Nothobranchius furzeri: one gene and its partners. The protein of the gene in region 2 purifies or fractionates together with the protein of the main gene of each other region. This does not show direct contact. Links are inferred from orthologs where the notes say so. Each region holds a gene or a part of one and is shown on either strand. Other genes may lie near its edges.

What was found.
Region 1: the proteins of sympk (region 2) and cpsf2 purify together in Homo sapiens (co-immunoprecipitation; 8 studies listed by BioGRID and IntAct, with this or other methods). This does not show direct contact. The link is inferred for Nothobranchius furzeri from reciprocal best matches to the Homo sapiens genes SYMPK and CPSF2.
Region 3: the proteins of sympk (region 2) and cpsf4 purify together in Homo sapiens (affinity purification with mass spectrometry; 4 studies listed by BioGRID and IntAct, counting the BioPlex papers as one, with this or other methods). This does not show direct contact. The link is inferred for Nothobranchius furzeri from reciprocal best matches to the Homo sapiens genes SYMPK and CPSF4.
Region 4: the proteins of sympk (region 2) and cytoplasmic polyadenylation element-binding protein 1 purify together in Homo sapiens (affinity purification with mass spectrometry; 3 studies listed by BioGRID and IntAct, counting the BioPlex papers as one, with this or other methods). This does not show direct contact. The link is inferred for Nothobranchius furzeri from reciprocal best matches to the Homo sapiens genes SYMPK and CPEB1.

What each region holds. Positions count from the first base shown.
Region 1 is NC_091742.1:9,301,708-9,306,241, forward strand, and holds the start of cpsf2 (cleavage and polyadenylation specificity factor subunit 2), read right to left. Parts: upstream 2,925-4,534; 5' UTR 2,774-2,924; intron 2,455-2,773; 5' UTR 2,437-2,454; coding exon 2,288-2,436; intron 2,079-2,287; coding exon 1,919-2,078; intron 1,826-1,918; coding exon 1,720-1,825; intron 1,643-1,719; coding exon 1,513-1,642; intron 1,428-1,512; coding exon 1,312-1,427; intron 1,176-1,311; coding exon 988-1,175; intron 897-987; coding exon 606-896; intron 519-605; coding exon 418-518; intron 265-417; coding exon 61-264; intron 1-60. Other genes in the region: NADH dehydrogenase [ubiquinone] 1 beta subcomplex subunit 1, read left to right, coding at 3,715-3,851, 3,982-4,018; riox1 (ribosomal oxygenase 1), read right to left, coding at 4,247-4,315, 4,398-4,484. UniProt on the Homo sapiens protein: Component of the cleavage and polyadenylation specificity factor (CPSF) complex that play a key role in pre-mRNA 3'-end formation, recognizing the AAUAAA signal sequence and interacting with poly(A) polymerase and other factors to bring about cleavage and poly(A) addition.
Region 2 is NC_091747.1:24,049,558-24,053,317, forward strand, and holds part of sympk (symplekin), read right to left. Parts: intron 473-3,760; coding exon 259-472; intron 179-258; coding exon 28-178; intron 1-27. UniProt on the Homo sapiens protein: Scaffold protein that functions as a component of a multimolecular complex involved in histone mRNA 3'-end processing. Specific component of the tight junction (TJ) plaque, but might not be an exclusively junctional component. May have a house-keeping rule.
Region 3 is NC_091752.1:65,592,229-65,596,559, forward strand, and holds the start of cpsf4 (cleavage and polyadenylation specificity factor subunit 4), read right to left. Parts: upstream 2,918-4,331; 5' UTR 2,616-2,917; coding exon 2,513-2,615; intron 2,391-2,512; coding exon 2,340-2,390; intron 1,799-2,339; coding exon 1,646-1,798; intron 1,517-1,645; coding exon 1,421-1,516; intron 1,343-1,420; coding exon 1,249-1,342; intron 1,105-1,248; coding exon 1,032-1,104; intron 1-1,031. UniProt on the Homo sapiens protein: Component of the cleavage and polyadenylation specificity factor (CPSF) complex that play a key role in pre-mRNA 3'-end formation, recognizing the AAUAAA signal sequence and interacting with poly(A) polymerase and other factors to bring about cleavage and poly(A) addition.
Region 4 is NC_091749.1:46,244,064-46,246,517, reverse strand, and holds the end of cytoplasmic polyadenylation element-binding protein 1, read left to right. Parts: intron 1-554; coding exon 555-665; 3' UTR 666-1,944; downstream 1,945-2,454.

The DNA of each region.
Region 1 (4,534 bases), on a different chromosome or scaffold from region 2:
AAATTAATAACCACAGAGCTGTCAGCTGTGTGACATTACTGAGCATAAACACTTCAGTACCTGATGATCTCTCCATATTCGTCCCATTTAATCCTCTCCTCGTGTACCGGAAACATCGGGTAAGACTTTTTAGCCTGTTTGAAGAAACTGCCTTTACGGCTCCCCTCGCTCTTCATCATCAAGTCGTGATGCTTGGTTTTCACCGCAGCTAGGTGATCGATGTCATCCTCCACGTCGCTCTCATCACTCGAGTCCACATCCACCCTGCAAACCCAGGAAGTAGAGTGGAACAAGCACAAAACAGATTAAAATCACCTAGAAGGTCATTTATTTCTGTTCTCTGACATCGACAGGTTCAAACTGCTGAGAAAGAGTCAGAAAAATACATAAACTCTTCCTTTTCCTACTGAGACTCACTCTTTTGCTTGTTCGAGTTTTTTTGCTGCTTCCTTCTTCACTTTCTCCTTCTCCAGATATTCCTCCAGGTCCTTGCCCTCGAGCTTCACTCTTTTCCTGACCTGCCAAAAATAAAACAAAACATTTTAAGTGTGAAAGTAGGAAACAAAGACCACGTGAAAAGTTGGTCATCAAAAACCCAGTCTCACCTCCAGATCCAGCATCGTTTCCCCAGGGTTGTCGATGAGGTAGCGCGCCAACGTTCCAGGTGTGGTGCGGTAGGTCAGGATGATGGAATTTTTTGCGTTTTGACACCACTGAATAAAAAGTTCTCTGGAAAAACCAGACTCAAGGTCTGGCTGGCTACAAAGCACCACCTTGGGGCTGGGGACCCGGGCCAGGTCTGCCAGACTGTGACACAGGGTCAGGTGTCGGAACTGGAAGGGATTGTTTCTTTTATCCTCAAAACACCTCATGAGTTTGTCGCTCATCCACTCCACCTACAGGAAATTAGAAATGCGGTAGTTTGTCATATTTCCTACGAGGTCTCCGTTTCAATACTAAGGAAGTGGGAAAACCAGTGACTGATACCTGGGACTTGGAGAATTCCACCACATTGTAACTGACATTGTTGAGCAGAGCTAACGGGTAAACTCCCAGTCCAGCATCCTTTGTCCTCCAAATCTGGTCCAGGAGCTGTGCCAGCTCCAGGACGCGTCCAGCCGTGTCCACGGAAATAAGGACATTCCCATCCCCACGCAAGGTCTCCATTACATTAGCTGTAAAAGTAGGACAATTAGTGAAGGGAGAACATTAAACATGCAAGCTGAAACCCTAACACCTATTTTCAAGAAATTCTTTCAATCTAGTTTAAGCTTGATGCTAAAATTGGTAACCGTTGTGAGGACAACTTACTGAGCAGCAGCTCATCTCTTTGCTTGCGGCGTGGTTGTACATAAGTAGCATTAAAGGAGTCAGTAATCAGTAAGGATGGACGACTAATGCTCTCCAAAGTGCAGCCATTCAGGTGGCTGAAACAGAGAGGAGTAAAAGAACACATCAGCTAAAACCCGACAGGCTACCAGATTTCTGTTTTATACAAACACCTCTGCCTACATTTCTCTCTTATGGTTAAAGTCCACTGCATAGACAATTTCCTCCTCTCCATCCTTGACAATCTTCCATATGGTGCCTCCGATCATGTGTCCAGCAGGAAGAGGAGTGATGGAAAGGCCATGGCCTTTACCTGTGAGGAAAATTAGATGATTTTAACCACATAAACTGGAGGGTTCTTTAATCTATAATGGATTGTAGGATGCTCACCTTTCAGACTGACAATCTGAGAGTACTTCAGTTGCTGGATTTTGTCAAAAGCACTGTCTACGTCATCAAGGGTGAAGAGCGTGAAATCTTCACTGTTGTTTCGAGACTGAGGGAAAGGGAAAATATTTAAAAAAAACAGAGTTTTATGCAAAACAATGTATATGTTAGCATTTTTTAATATAATTACAATTTTAAGTACCTGATATAAATCATACATGAACATCTGACCCATTTTGTAGACCGGAATGGTGGCATAGATAGTACAGTTTAGACCCAGCTTGCCAACAGCATAGGGCAGGGCTCCCAGGTGAATGGGGTCAGGGTGGGACAGCAGCACTGCATCGACCTGATGAACATATCTGGAAGAGATGATGAACAATATTTTTGATTGCAGAACAAACACAAAATTAAGTGAGCTAGGGGTGGAAAAACTACTTAAGTCATGAGTTCAAACTGATTTTACAATAAAGAAATAAATAAATGTTTTCAGCAACTCTGGAAAATGTGTGAACAACCCATTCCTTCTTGTGGATAGCTCTTATTGTTAATTATGGTTTGACATTGTTACCGCTTCATGGCATCAATAATGTCCATTGAAAAGTTCTCGTCCCATCCACAGTCCAGCAGGAAGCGAAATTCATCCACCTGCAGCAGGTAACAGAGGGCAGACTCCTCCTGAACCCCTGACACGGCTGTCAGCTTGATAATGGACGTCATTTTCCTTCACTTGTCTCGCTGAAATGACACAACAGAGCCCACAAGTACAAACAACTTCAACGTCTATTTCTTGAAACTAGTTTGAATATGAACAAAACCACGCACACATGTGCCATTATTTTACCGAACAATAATAGTGAATTTCATATCACTGTGAGTACAAGGGCTTGTATTCATCTCGTTACAAAGGTTAAAACGTAAGAAAATCTAAATGAAAGCTGTCTGATTTTCGCAACAATTGTTGTCGAATTACCCGGCAGTCTGCTTAGCCTGCTAGCTTAGCCACATATTAGCTTGCGTATATGAATGAACAAAATCAAGGGAATGGGAGACATACCATCAAATACAAGAAAAAAATAAATATTATCTTTCGCAGTAACAGAAAAAAACGCCTAAATGTGGGGGTTTTCTTGTAATAATAACATCCAAGACATTTTTGTTAGCAATTAACAGCTCGACTAGCGGCCATGTTTTCACGTTCGTCACAGGTGAAAGGGCAAATGAACGTACCACTTACAGTCAAGAAGTTCTAAATCAAAACACATAATTTAAAGTTCTTTATATTAAACTTAAAACATAAAAAATGCAAAAAATTGGAATTCAATATAATGAATATAGAATATAATGAAATAAATATGTAAGTATTTATCGATTTTCATGATCACGTGATCCTTTTGCATTTGGTAGAGTCCACGAATGTCCTTCGTTTGGTGAAGGAAGACCTGAAGGCCACGACTGTGTTAAAAAGCGGGTAATTTCTGGATTTATGTTTTATTGTCTGAGTCTGATAGTTATAAAAGCTTTGAGCGAACGTTTATTAAACTAAACATTAACAGGTAAAGTTATTTATAACCAAACGTCGCAGTAGTCGCTAGTGTTTAGCATGTTAGCTGTGGAGGAACGCTTTAGCTTCAACTGAATGCGGTGTCCAGCTGTATTTTCGGTTACATTTCAACATTTTCTTTGCTTAATAAAATGTCCTACATCATATATTTTAGGGGGATGTTTTGTTTATTGCATTTGATCCAACATCAATAAGCTGATGGCCATAATTATGTCGTTGTTTTGGAGCTTGGCTCTTATGAACATGTTTTCTTTTGTTTAAAAAAGAAAAAATAAATTGGATAATAACATACTACAACTGAAAACAACTCCCACCCCCAAAAAAGAGCAGGAACAAGCTTAAACTTGATTGATACCAGTAACAAGCTTTAGTGAATATAAAACATAATCAGTACTATGAAGTTAGTACAACTCTGTGCTTTTTTTGTAGGAACCATGGTGAAGTTTGCTCTTTCTCAGATAAACTGGACACACGTATTGGTTCCTATGGGTTTTGTGATCGGATGGTACCTTGATAAACAACAAGACCAGAAGCTGACAGCTTTCAGGAACAAAAGTGTGTTGTTTAGAAGGTAAGAAACCTCACACACACATACCACGGTCTCACAATTCATCTAACTTTGCAAGCAGCAAGTTCAGGTGTGGAATAAAGATTTTTTTAATGCAGCCACATGGAAAACAAACCTCCTTTCTTCTTGATAGAGAGCTGAAGCCTGGCGAAGAGGTGACCTGGAAGTAGATGCCCAGACAGTCCTGTCAGCTGAAGTGTGAATGGTTGATGGATGGTCTTCAAATCGCTTAATTGAAAAACATCCTGTATATTATTTTGAGTTGTATCAACTAAAAAATAAACATGCCCTTTGTGTTTCAAAGAAATAATGTTTATTTTATACATTATGTATCAAAAAGCTGCGAAAGAACCGTATCCATGACTACTGAAGTTTGTTTATGAACATGGTCGGTGTAATTAAGCTATCTGAGGAGGCTCAGCTGTGCGGATAATCCCCTTCTCAAAAAGCAGTTCGGCCAAAGCAATCTGTGAGGAGAGAGGAAACTAGATTATTTTCAGAAATTCACACCATTAAGGCACAGAAACGAGTTTGAATGTCAGAACCCACCTTGTCCTGAGCAGAGTCGCATGGCAAGCCTCCTACTGTCACAAAGTTGGGATACGAGTGGATCAGAAACTCAACGGCATCCGTGTGCTAAAGATAAATAAAGTACCAATTAGAATGTAGATGAAATCTTATAGACA
Region 2 (3,760 bases):
TGGTGATAAAACCTAACCATCACTCACATGGGACATTCCACTTTGAGAAATCGCCTTTTCTGAGAGCAAAATGCGCTTCACCGCTTTGGAAGTTAACACCTCAATCTGGGAGTCTGAAAAAGGCTGAACAACGTCGGACAGTCGAAACACCTTTTTCCTCCCACCTGCCCCGCTCATCCTGCAGAAAAACAATAAAATCAAATTACAGGTGCTGCAGATGTTTCTGACTGTGACGTTTTCTCTGAGCTGCAGCCTCACTTGGTTTGTGCCGAGGGGAGAATGGGTTCAGGAAGCTTTTTGACAGCTGGAGCTTCTGTGCTGAGGGGTTTCCCAGTGTAACTCCCCACTACAGAAATGGCCTGACCCACCATCTCAGAAGGAATTTTATGCTTGACAGCATGGTCTTTTGTATCAGAGTCCTCTTCTTCCTCTCTACCCCCTTCATCATCTCTGGATTTGCACTGTTCCAGACCTACAACAGAACATTTCAGGTATTAGAAATGGTCAGAAAGAGAATAAAACCATAGAACTCAGCAGTACCCAGTATTCCTTTTTTTTTAAATTTATTTTTCCCCCTGTCCTGTCTGGCTGTGAAGTAAACAGAATTGATGTCTGAATGCTGGTGACAAGCCTTACAGATTTACTCTCAGGTGGAGCATCAAAGCGTTTGCTTTTAATGTCACGCCTGATACTTAAAACTTTATTGTTATTGTTTTTGAATGCTTTGTTATTCCTACCAGACACGGAGACAGAGGTGAAAGAGAAAGGAAAAGACAAAAGGTGTGTGTGTGTGTGTGTGTGTGGGGGGGGGAGGTTCCACAAAAACAATCAATCAATGATGAACAAGAGCTTCTAGACCTGCAGAAGGAGGAAAAAAAAGAAAAAAAGAAAAGGGACACACATACAACAGGAGCAAGCTATCACCGCGTCAACCTGATGAAGAAATATAAAGTCAACATTGTTTAACTGAACAATCACACATACATCACAGTGCATTTAGTGCCAACCACAGATGATATGTGTTGAACGTGCCCAAGTCCATACTTATGAGAGCACCATGTGAGCACCTGTGTGCGTCGTGTGTACCCATGTAAGGTTTCTCTATAGGAGCGTCCAACAGAGTGTGAGGGGCCACAGATCTGCCCCCCAAAGATGTGTAGGAGACGGAGGGAGCTCCAAGTCCCAGAGATTCAGGTACTGCCCCAGAGCACAGGGACCCCAAGGAGACTGAGACCAGAAAAGCCCCTGCCCCCTCGAGAGGAGCAGAGGATCGCCCCGGGGGGCCACAACCAGTAGCTGGCTGAGTCCCGGGAGATATCAGCGGCAAGCCCTCAGGCCCGCCCGCAACCTCCCACCCCCTAGCCGGCCGAGCCCGGAACCCAGTGTCCCGGGACCCAGGGGCGACCAGCCCCGCTGGGGACCCAACAGAGTCCAGGGACCCAGATCCCACCAGGCAGCCACCGGGATTGGTCAGGCAGACGCAGAAGTCCCAGGAGAGGGGAGGAGTCAAAAGCCCCACCTGACATATACAGTCATACACAAACACAGTCACACACTCCCTCCTTCATGCTCACACATGCACATACAACCTAAGACTCACAAAAATGCATGCCAGACACCCACTCATGCTCCCCATACACACCCTATTCACTCTGGTCCCGGTACTGCTGCACAGGGGGTACAACCATCACCGGTTACCAGAGTTTGACCCTTTCTGCTGGGGTGCTGATGAGCAGGCTCCCCCGCCCAACGCTGAGCACAGCAACCCACCACCCCAGACCCCAGCCAGACGGCCAGATCTCCCTCCTAGCCTCCAGCCCCAGGAAGCCAAGCGACAACAGAGGTGTGCTAAGACCCCTAGTCTCACTCTGCCTGCTCCAGTATAGTGTTGGTGCGTGTTGATGAGGTGTATTTGTGGCTGTGGTGAGCGGGCAGTGCAGGCATCGTCTGGCCTACGCCAGCTGATGCCTGCACTAGGGCTGTCACGGTTGAGGAATTCCCCCTGCGGTGATTCAGGGTGGCTTAATATTGCGGTGTGCGATATTATTGCAGCATTTTCTTTTTATTGCAGTACTATCTAAACATAATGTTTACACATTTAAAAAAGGTTAAAAATTGCCGTGCCTTCTTTTATAACACTTTACTGAATGCAGATCAAAGGGCAGTAACAACACAGATCGCAGTAACGTTTGTTTCTCCGACAGTCGGAGTCCGACTGAACTTAAAAACAACAAAATTCAGGAGGTTAAACTTTTAAATGCAAATTTGGCTGCAGCACCTAACAAATAAGAAACAAGTCCCCATTTTGTTTAGCTGTTTAAAATCAAGCATAAAAATTACATGTACCTGGCGCGGGGCACTATCATTTCACTTTCACACACACGAATGACGGTGCTTTATAGCTCGGTCACGTCCTTGTTACCCACAAGGAAAACCAGCATGATAACTATATACGCTTTGAGAGAGGATCTGAGAGGGGTGGCAATATTTCCAGCAACACTGAAAACCCTCTCGGATGGTGCGCTCGTTGCACTAACGCACACGTACTTGCGTGCGACTGGCGAGCAAAGGGAATCTCTCCCGGTTGTTGCTCCACCATGTCAGGGGGGTTTCTTTAGGGTGGATGCATTCCTCCTGCAGGTAGCGAGTGAGCTCCAGCTCGGCTCAAACTCTCTTCGGGACGGTTGCAGAAGCAGTGCTTGTCCGGGACTTCAGCAGGTCTCCGAGCGTTTATTATTATTTTTTTGCCGCTGGTGGCAGCTCTGTCTCGGCCAAGGACTCTGGCTGCGCAGCAGCTCACATACTGAAAACCAAAGTGCTCCCAAAGGAGCGAAGTAACGTTTCGTTTTGATACCAGTGCAGCCATCCTTCTCAACATGCATCATTGAGTTGAATCAAGTTCAGTAATCGCGGTGGCTCATGATGCAGCGCGGTGGGTTTCTTCATATTGCGATATTTCATTTTTGCGGTTACCGTGACAGCCCTAGCCACCACACCGCCCCTCTTCCCCCCACAGCCCTCTGTGTCTAAGTGCAGTTTAAAATTGGAAGTGGGCACTGGCACATGGGATGAGGCTGAAAGATCCCCTTGCCAAATGCCGTTGAATGTGCTTACTCCCAAGGCCCTAAGTGTGTGTTTGCGTGGAATGTCGTTGGTGGAAGTGTTTAATTTGCAAATAAAATTGGGGGGCAGGCAGCCACAGGAATGCAGAAATGGGGTCCATACCTGCACCCCTGACTTGTCCACCCCTCAAAGTCCTATGTGCATGTTTGTGTGATGATGTGAGGGAGCAGGAGGAGAAAAATGTGTGGGGATGGGGAGGAATGGCTGGTTGGCCTAAGCCCTCCAGGGCGCCAGCTCCCACTGGCCCCAATAGGCACTTCCATTGCCAAAATGCCACCCAGGGCATGGAGACCCCAGCCCATCTTGCCAAGGCCAAAGCAGCAGCATTGCAGAGCTCCATGGAGTCCGAGGGAACCAACGCAGCCCCACCCCAGCAGAATATCTACTCCCATCCCTGCATTTGCACAGCTTCCAGAACATATAAGACATAGGACATCCAGGTAAGGTTGGGTCCTCCCCCTCCCCTGTGATGGAACAGCAGAGGAGCCAAGGTCTACCCGAGGCCGCTGAGCCCGGGCCAGGCACTGCCGTATGTTCCCACCTTCTTCCTGGCAGCATAAATGTCAGGACCTGACCCCCAAAGCCCTGCCCAGATCCCCACACGGGGCCGGCCAACTCCACACCCCTAGCCCCCACC
Region 3 (4,331 bases), on a different chromosome or scaffold from region 2:
TTTTTAAAAAACAATTACAAAATTTTTTTTAAATTACAATAAATTTAAAAACTGCGAGGAAAGGGAGAGAAAATGAATAGGAAAGAGGAGAAACATTAAGTAATTCCAGGAGGACTTAACCCCTGACTTGCTGCTGGAAAATAACCAGATAATTCCATGTCATGTGATACGGATGGCAGTGAATGTGTCTCAAAAGTAGGGCTGGGCGATTTGGCCTAAAATCAATATCACGATATATTGAGGATTTCTCCTCGATAACGATACATTTTCGGTTTATTGCACAGCCCTACTCAAACTCTTGTTTTAACGCCCCCTATTGGGGACCTCTACAGTTTCATGTCCCAAACATCTACAACTGTCCACATTCTCCAAACAACTAAAACCACAATCAAACAGCCCAGATGGGAAACAAGGCCATTTTAAATTGTAATAAATTAAGATACAATGATATTTGAACTTTTAGAAAAGCGTCTGGCCTTCACTGGTGTCTGCTGCAAAAAACGATTGAACAAACTTAGTTGAGGACCCCTGGAATAAATAAAATAAGACTAAATTTCTGAAATCGAATTTGAACTCACAACCTCCACCCTGTCACACAGCCCTCCTCTTCTAAAATTAAGTTCAAGTATTATTTTATCTTAATTTATCAAAATCCAAAAATTGCTTTGTTTAAAATCGAAACTGTTTTGATTGTAGCTGTACTCGGGGAATGCAAACAATCACTGACATTTGGGACATGAAACTCCAAAGGCCTCCAATTGGGAGGCGCCAGGGCCCAAAGAGTTAATTCTAAAGATTGGTGCTGTTTGCAGATAACAACACACTTCAGTAGCTCCAAGACTAGCCATTAGCTCATCAGTCCAGTCAGACTTAAACTTTATTTCTCCCAACAGAGGCTTTTCTAGAAGCTCTTTAGAAAAAATAGTAAATATTTATGTATTTCACCTGCTTCAAAAAGGCAGAAAAAATAATTTTTTTAAAGTTGGCTGAACTAAGAGTTGTTTAATAAATTTGTGAGTGAGTGGTCGTACCTTTGTCTGGTTCTGAAGTTGCTGTTGAAGAGGAGGCTGTTCAGAAGTTCCCATAGGCAGCTCAAACCGGGGGCTGCAGGAAAACATCTCAGTAAATTTTACATCTTTGATTGTGTTATTTCAGAATCTCCTAACCCAAAAATCCACTTTTACTAAATAAAAACTGGATCTTAAACAGGTAATTTATGTAAAAAATCAAATAAAACAAATGACTTACTGCATAAATTTACAGGACTTTCCTTCTGGACAGAAACCCACCAGGTAGTTCACACAGATCACCCTTCTTGTGTGTCTGTGTCTGCAGTCAGGCCCTGAACACACAAACATCCAGAAGCCGTTTGAAGAAAGAGCAGAAAAAGAGTTTTTCTCACCCACATGCCGGATCTTACCGTGTTTACAGAAGCCTCGGTCGTACCATGGACAGTCTTTGATCTTAGACTCTGGATCAATGTGCAGGAAGGGACATTCCTTATTGCTACACTCACCTGGGGGTCAACACATATAAGAAATAAAATATTCAGAGCCTTGAAGACAAGTGTTGAGTGGTTAAGAGGCACAAGAGCCACACTTAGAATTCATTTAATGTGTTAAAGATAAAGAGAAAGTCAACTAACCAAACTTTGAGTAGAAGTAGCATTCAGGCATCTTTGTCATGTCATACTCATGGAGAAACTCGCACTGGTCTCCTTTCTTACACAGTCCTCTGAGCCAGTGTTTACACACCACCGTCTTCTCTCCGCTGATGTGACGGAACGGACACATCCCACCTGAATCACATTCACAGTTACAACATTCATCTCATTTGAACAACTGCAAAGTCGGGTTGTTGCAGAGCTACAAAAACAAGAGTCAGAAGAAATCAAGTCAAAATACTTTCTCCTCTTTTGTCATACAAATCAAATCTTTTATGTTAATGTCACTACAAGGAAGAGCGAGATCAGAAGCGGTGGTTGACTCTGTGTTTGGCATAAAAATAGAAGTGAGAATCATAAGTAACATAAAAATGTGACAAAGAGTAACAATAAACACTTTATAAATAGAAAAGGTCTGTTTATGAAAAGATTGCACCGGTTTAGCTATAGTCTCTATTGCACACTAGAAAGAATTTTATTAGGAATTCAGAACCATGATGCGGAGACAACCAGTGAGTGGAGGGTTACCAATACATTTTATTTAGAATTGTAAAGCTTTGATGAACGTTTCAGATTAAAATAAAATAAGCAGCATTTGTGTGTCTAATGGAAACACACATGGACCCGTGACCAACAACAAAACGAAGTAAAAACTACTGAAATTATATTTTTTTACCTTTCATGCAGGTTCCTCTGGTGAAGTACTCACACACAGCTGACCCTGACTCTACAGGGGGACACATTAGCACAGAACTGATTAACACAAGCATGTGTGTACCTGCCGTTAGCTCTCTCATTAGGGTTCATTCAGATAAAGCGGCTAATAGCAGGTAGCATCCCTACACTTACTGTCCATGCCGGGGAAAGGCAGAGGCTGCGCTCCCAGCTGCTGCTCCATAGCTAGTTCCAGATCGAACTTGATGTGATCCACGGTGGCCAACAAGTCCTGCATGTTTGCTTTGGTTTTCTGCCCTCAAGCCAAATAAGTTGTTTTCGCCTGTGCTAGCTTGAAATCGAACCTGTTAGCTTAGCTACCTCATCCGCACACTAACGAAAGCGTAGGCTAACGAAACTTGACGGTCAAACAGATTAACAAAATATAATTAGAAAACATGTAAATAAACTAAGTTTGTAGTTTTACTGCGTAAAAAAAAACTTCTGACCGTGGTTCAGGTCTGTCAGTTCCGTTTTAGTTATCGTTCTACTCGTTGCTCAGCGTGACGGTGTTGGCGCGCGCACAACGATCACCGAGCTGACGGATCTAGACTGAACTAATCGATAAACGAGGCCTTTCACGTTTCACTTGGAAAATGCTTGCCTCTTTATTTTTTATTTTTTATTTTTTTATTTTTGCTTTAATTTTTTGTTTCATGAAAAATGAGAAGAGTACTTATTGAGAAGAATATTATGAATTGTAAAATTATTTCCAGGATGAACCTTACTAGATTCCTATTTTATAGTGAGTTTTTTTTTCTGTTTTAAAATATGTAGTCATTTTTAATTTTCGTTTGTCTGTCACATAGTTTAAAATTTATTTGTTTGTACAATTTCGTAATTAAAATCACTACTGATCTGACGCTGGGTCTGTGACGTCACAGCTGAGTCTCTTCTCCCCCAGCATAGTTGCTACTTACCACATGGCCAGATTTGTGGTGGTTTTCTCCATATTTAATGTATCTTCTTTCATCCTGGAAGGATTTGCAGCTTGTCACCATTCTTTTTCTCATCTTCTCTGTGTCTGGTTCAATTACATAAATTTGGTGAGACAAGTATTTGTAGACCGTCCTCTACGTCATTTACACAAAACCTAAAGTAACTTTTGTCACCTGTCAAAAATAAACACTTTATTGGCATAAAATTGTATTTTTTAAATTCACAGACATCATATGTCAAAACAATGGCACATTTCAAACAGGATCAGAAAACAACTTATTGGCTCATACATTTTTTTGGAACTAGGGGGCCCACAAACTGACATGGAAGAGTAAGCAAGAGCACATAAAAAGTAATAAAAGAAGAAGAAGAAAATATCATTTCTATAGTGCCTCTCAAGATAAAAATCACGAGGCGCTTCACAAAAACAAAAAATGTAAAAATATAGAGTCCACCTTTAATCTTTTGAAAATGTTAAAAAAAGAGTTTAAAATAGGCAACAAAGATTTATTTTGATATTTACAACTGAGGCATTTCTCTGACATTCAGGTGAAACCACAACTAGCGGGAAACTGTAATGTGCTGGTTAAAATTATACTGAACTCGAAAAACCAATTGCCGTCCAAGGTAGTTTCTAAATTATACAGCTGTATTAAAAAATGTAATGGAAATAATTCACAATATGTAAAAACCAAATGGGAAAAGGATATGCAAAAGGAAATTTCAGAAGATGATTAGCATTCAATGTGCAAAACAAACTCAGCTCTACCAGCTCCAGGAACTGGTGAGAATCCGGATGGAAGAACTTAGTACTAGGGATGTCCCGATCAGGTTTTTTTGCCCTTGAGTCTGAGTCAGAGTCATTTGATTTTGAGAATCTGCCGATACCGAGTCCCGATCCGATACTTTCGATACATAAAAAAAAAAGAAAAAGAAAAGGAAGAAACAGTGCAGAATGTTCCTTATTTTTTTATTTAATTACCTTTTCATTTTAAGTTTTAACAACAGATCACTT
Region 4 (2,454 bases), on a different chromosome or scaffold from region 2:
AAATGCGTGATCCGAGGATTTGGGTTGAGGGAGAATGCAACGAGTTGCTATATAAAGCAGCCGCAGCGCTGCTACCTGCATATAAACAGTGTCGCGGACACCCCCATGTTGAAATGACGCTATATTGGCATTTTAAAGACTAAAGGGGAAATATGTAAACAAATAAACAACATGATTACAAAATGACACATTTTAGGCAAAATTGAGACACAATTTGAGGACAATATTTTCCGGATATACAGGGTTTATTTAGTTGTTTGAAAATGTAACACGTTTAAAAAAAATACCGCGATAATACCGAAAACCGTGATAATTTTGGTCACAATAACTGAGGTTAAATTTTCACACCGTGACAACCCTAGTGGCAGTAAATGAGCACCCATAAGAAATTTAACTTAAAATCAAGAGAATTATTTTCTCAATACATTTTAACAGATGGCGCTTATTTGCTGCTTGAATAACTATAAATCTATTTAGATTTGATTGACCTTTAGCAGTAAAATAAACTTATAAGTTGAAGGTGACATGCATTCTAAGTTTCTGATCTTATACAGGCCTGCTTCAAGTACTACTGCCGCTCCTGCTGGCACTGGCAGCACTCGATGGACATCTTGAGCAACCATCGGCCCCTCATGCGCAACCAGAAGAACAGGGACTCCAGCTAGAGCAGAGGGATCTAGACACTCTGCAGGGTCAGAGGAGGAGCCTCTACAGAGCGAGGCTGCCCGCCGGCGAGAGCACGGGTGTCGGGCGTCCCTCGGTATGGGGGCACTGTGGCACTCCACCAGGCACTGGGGTTTTCACTGTAGAAAATGTTCACTTTTGCACTTGCTACTTTTTTGCTGTTCACAGTGGCACTATGCAGTGACCTTGTTGGGAATAAACAAGGGGCCCTTCACACTAAAAGCATTTTCTCAGACTTGTGGCCAGACAAAGTGAGAGTCAGCCTAACGTTATGAGGTGGACGAAAATGCCCTTTGTTTTGATTATTTTTGTTTAAATGTGTTGCATAGTGAAGAGCAATCACGCAAGTCTCATTGCCATTCATTGGCAAATGCCATACAGTGCCTTTAAATTTTTATTTTTTCCCCTCTTCCCTCCCCTTATGCCAGTTGGCACCAGTTTTCCTGTACAAGCCAACTGGTTTCTTACTTTTGGGAGTTGAATGTTGGGCTTCATTTAACCAGTCGCATTTCAGACATTTTTACGCAGTTTTTTACTAATTTGTACACAAACGGTTTTAAGTCATAACATGAAAATTTTGAACAATTATATAAGGTGGCTGTTGATGGGAAACCCCCCTTTTTATTTTTTCTTCATACATTTCAGTGGCTTTTTTTATTTGCCTTTCCGTATTTCAGCTGAATGGGCACAAAATGTTGGATGTAATACTTCTGCTCACTTTGATCCAGTTATTAAATATTCATCAGTACTAGTGCGTCAATTGGTAATCCACTGCTTCTAGAGCACTCAATAGATCCCATTTGAAACTGGAGTCATTTGACTGTTTACTTTATTCCCTTTCCCCCCACATTTTAATTTGCACGTGTGGAGAGGTGGCAGTGGTTTTTAATCACTTTTGTACATTGATGGGGGACATGCCTGTTAAACCTGCTGCTTGTTTCCTGTTTGATGTAAGAACTTCCACTTAGCTGATTAACTATCCAGAACTTGAGTAGACCCCCCCCCCCCCTTCTATAAATGATCCCCTCATTCTTATGCCATTTAACCTTCCTGTTCCAGTTGGATGTAAATGCATACGTTGTGTGCCAAAGACGAGTGTCTTTCTTTATTTGTTAGGTTTGTCATGCTGAGCTTGTTGTCTTTTAGCCCAGCTGCTTTTTAGAGTTTTGAAAGTCTACCTCATTGTGGTCTGCCAAGTTTGCTGCTACTTAATTGTGGAGTATGTTCAGATTGGGCACAATAAAGGTGTTTAAGCATTAAGATGTCTGGGCTCCAAATGGTTTGTTATTTCAGATGTGCATTTAAGCTTTTCAGTTTTACATTGGTATTGATTCTTTATACAGATCAGGATGGTCTTGTTCTATTTCAGTTTTGCTTTAGCTGACCTAATTCACTTGAACATGAACAAAAACAAAGATGATTTTAGACTGCAGAAGAAACAGGGTGGAGTCAAACACTGTTTGCACCATGGGAGAAGTGGAGGTGATTGAGGAATACAAATACCTTGGAGTTCACCTGGACAACAGACTGGACTGGAGAAAGAGCAGCGAAGCCGTTTACAAGAAGGGACACAGCAGACTGGTCTTCTTGAGGATGCTTAGGTCCTTCAATGTCTGTAGCAAGATGCTGCAGATCTTCTAAAAGTCTGTTGTTGAGCCATCGTCTGTTGGGGTAGTAGCATCAGAAACGGGGACCTGAAAAGGCTCAACAGCCTAATAAAAAAGGCTGGTTCTGTTCTGGGGACGACTGTGGAACCACTGGAGGAGATAA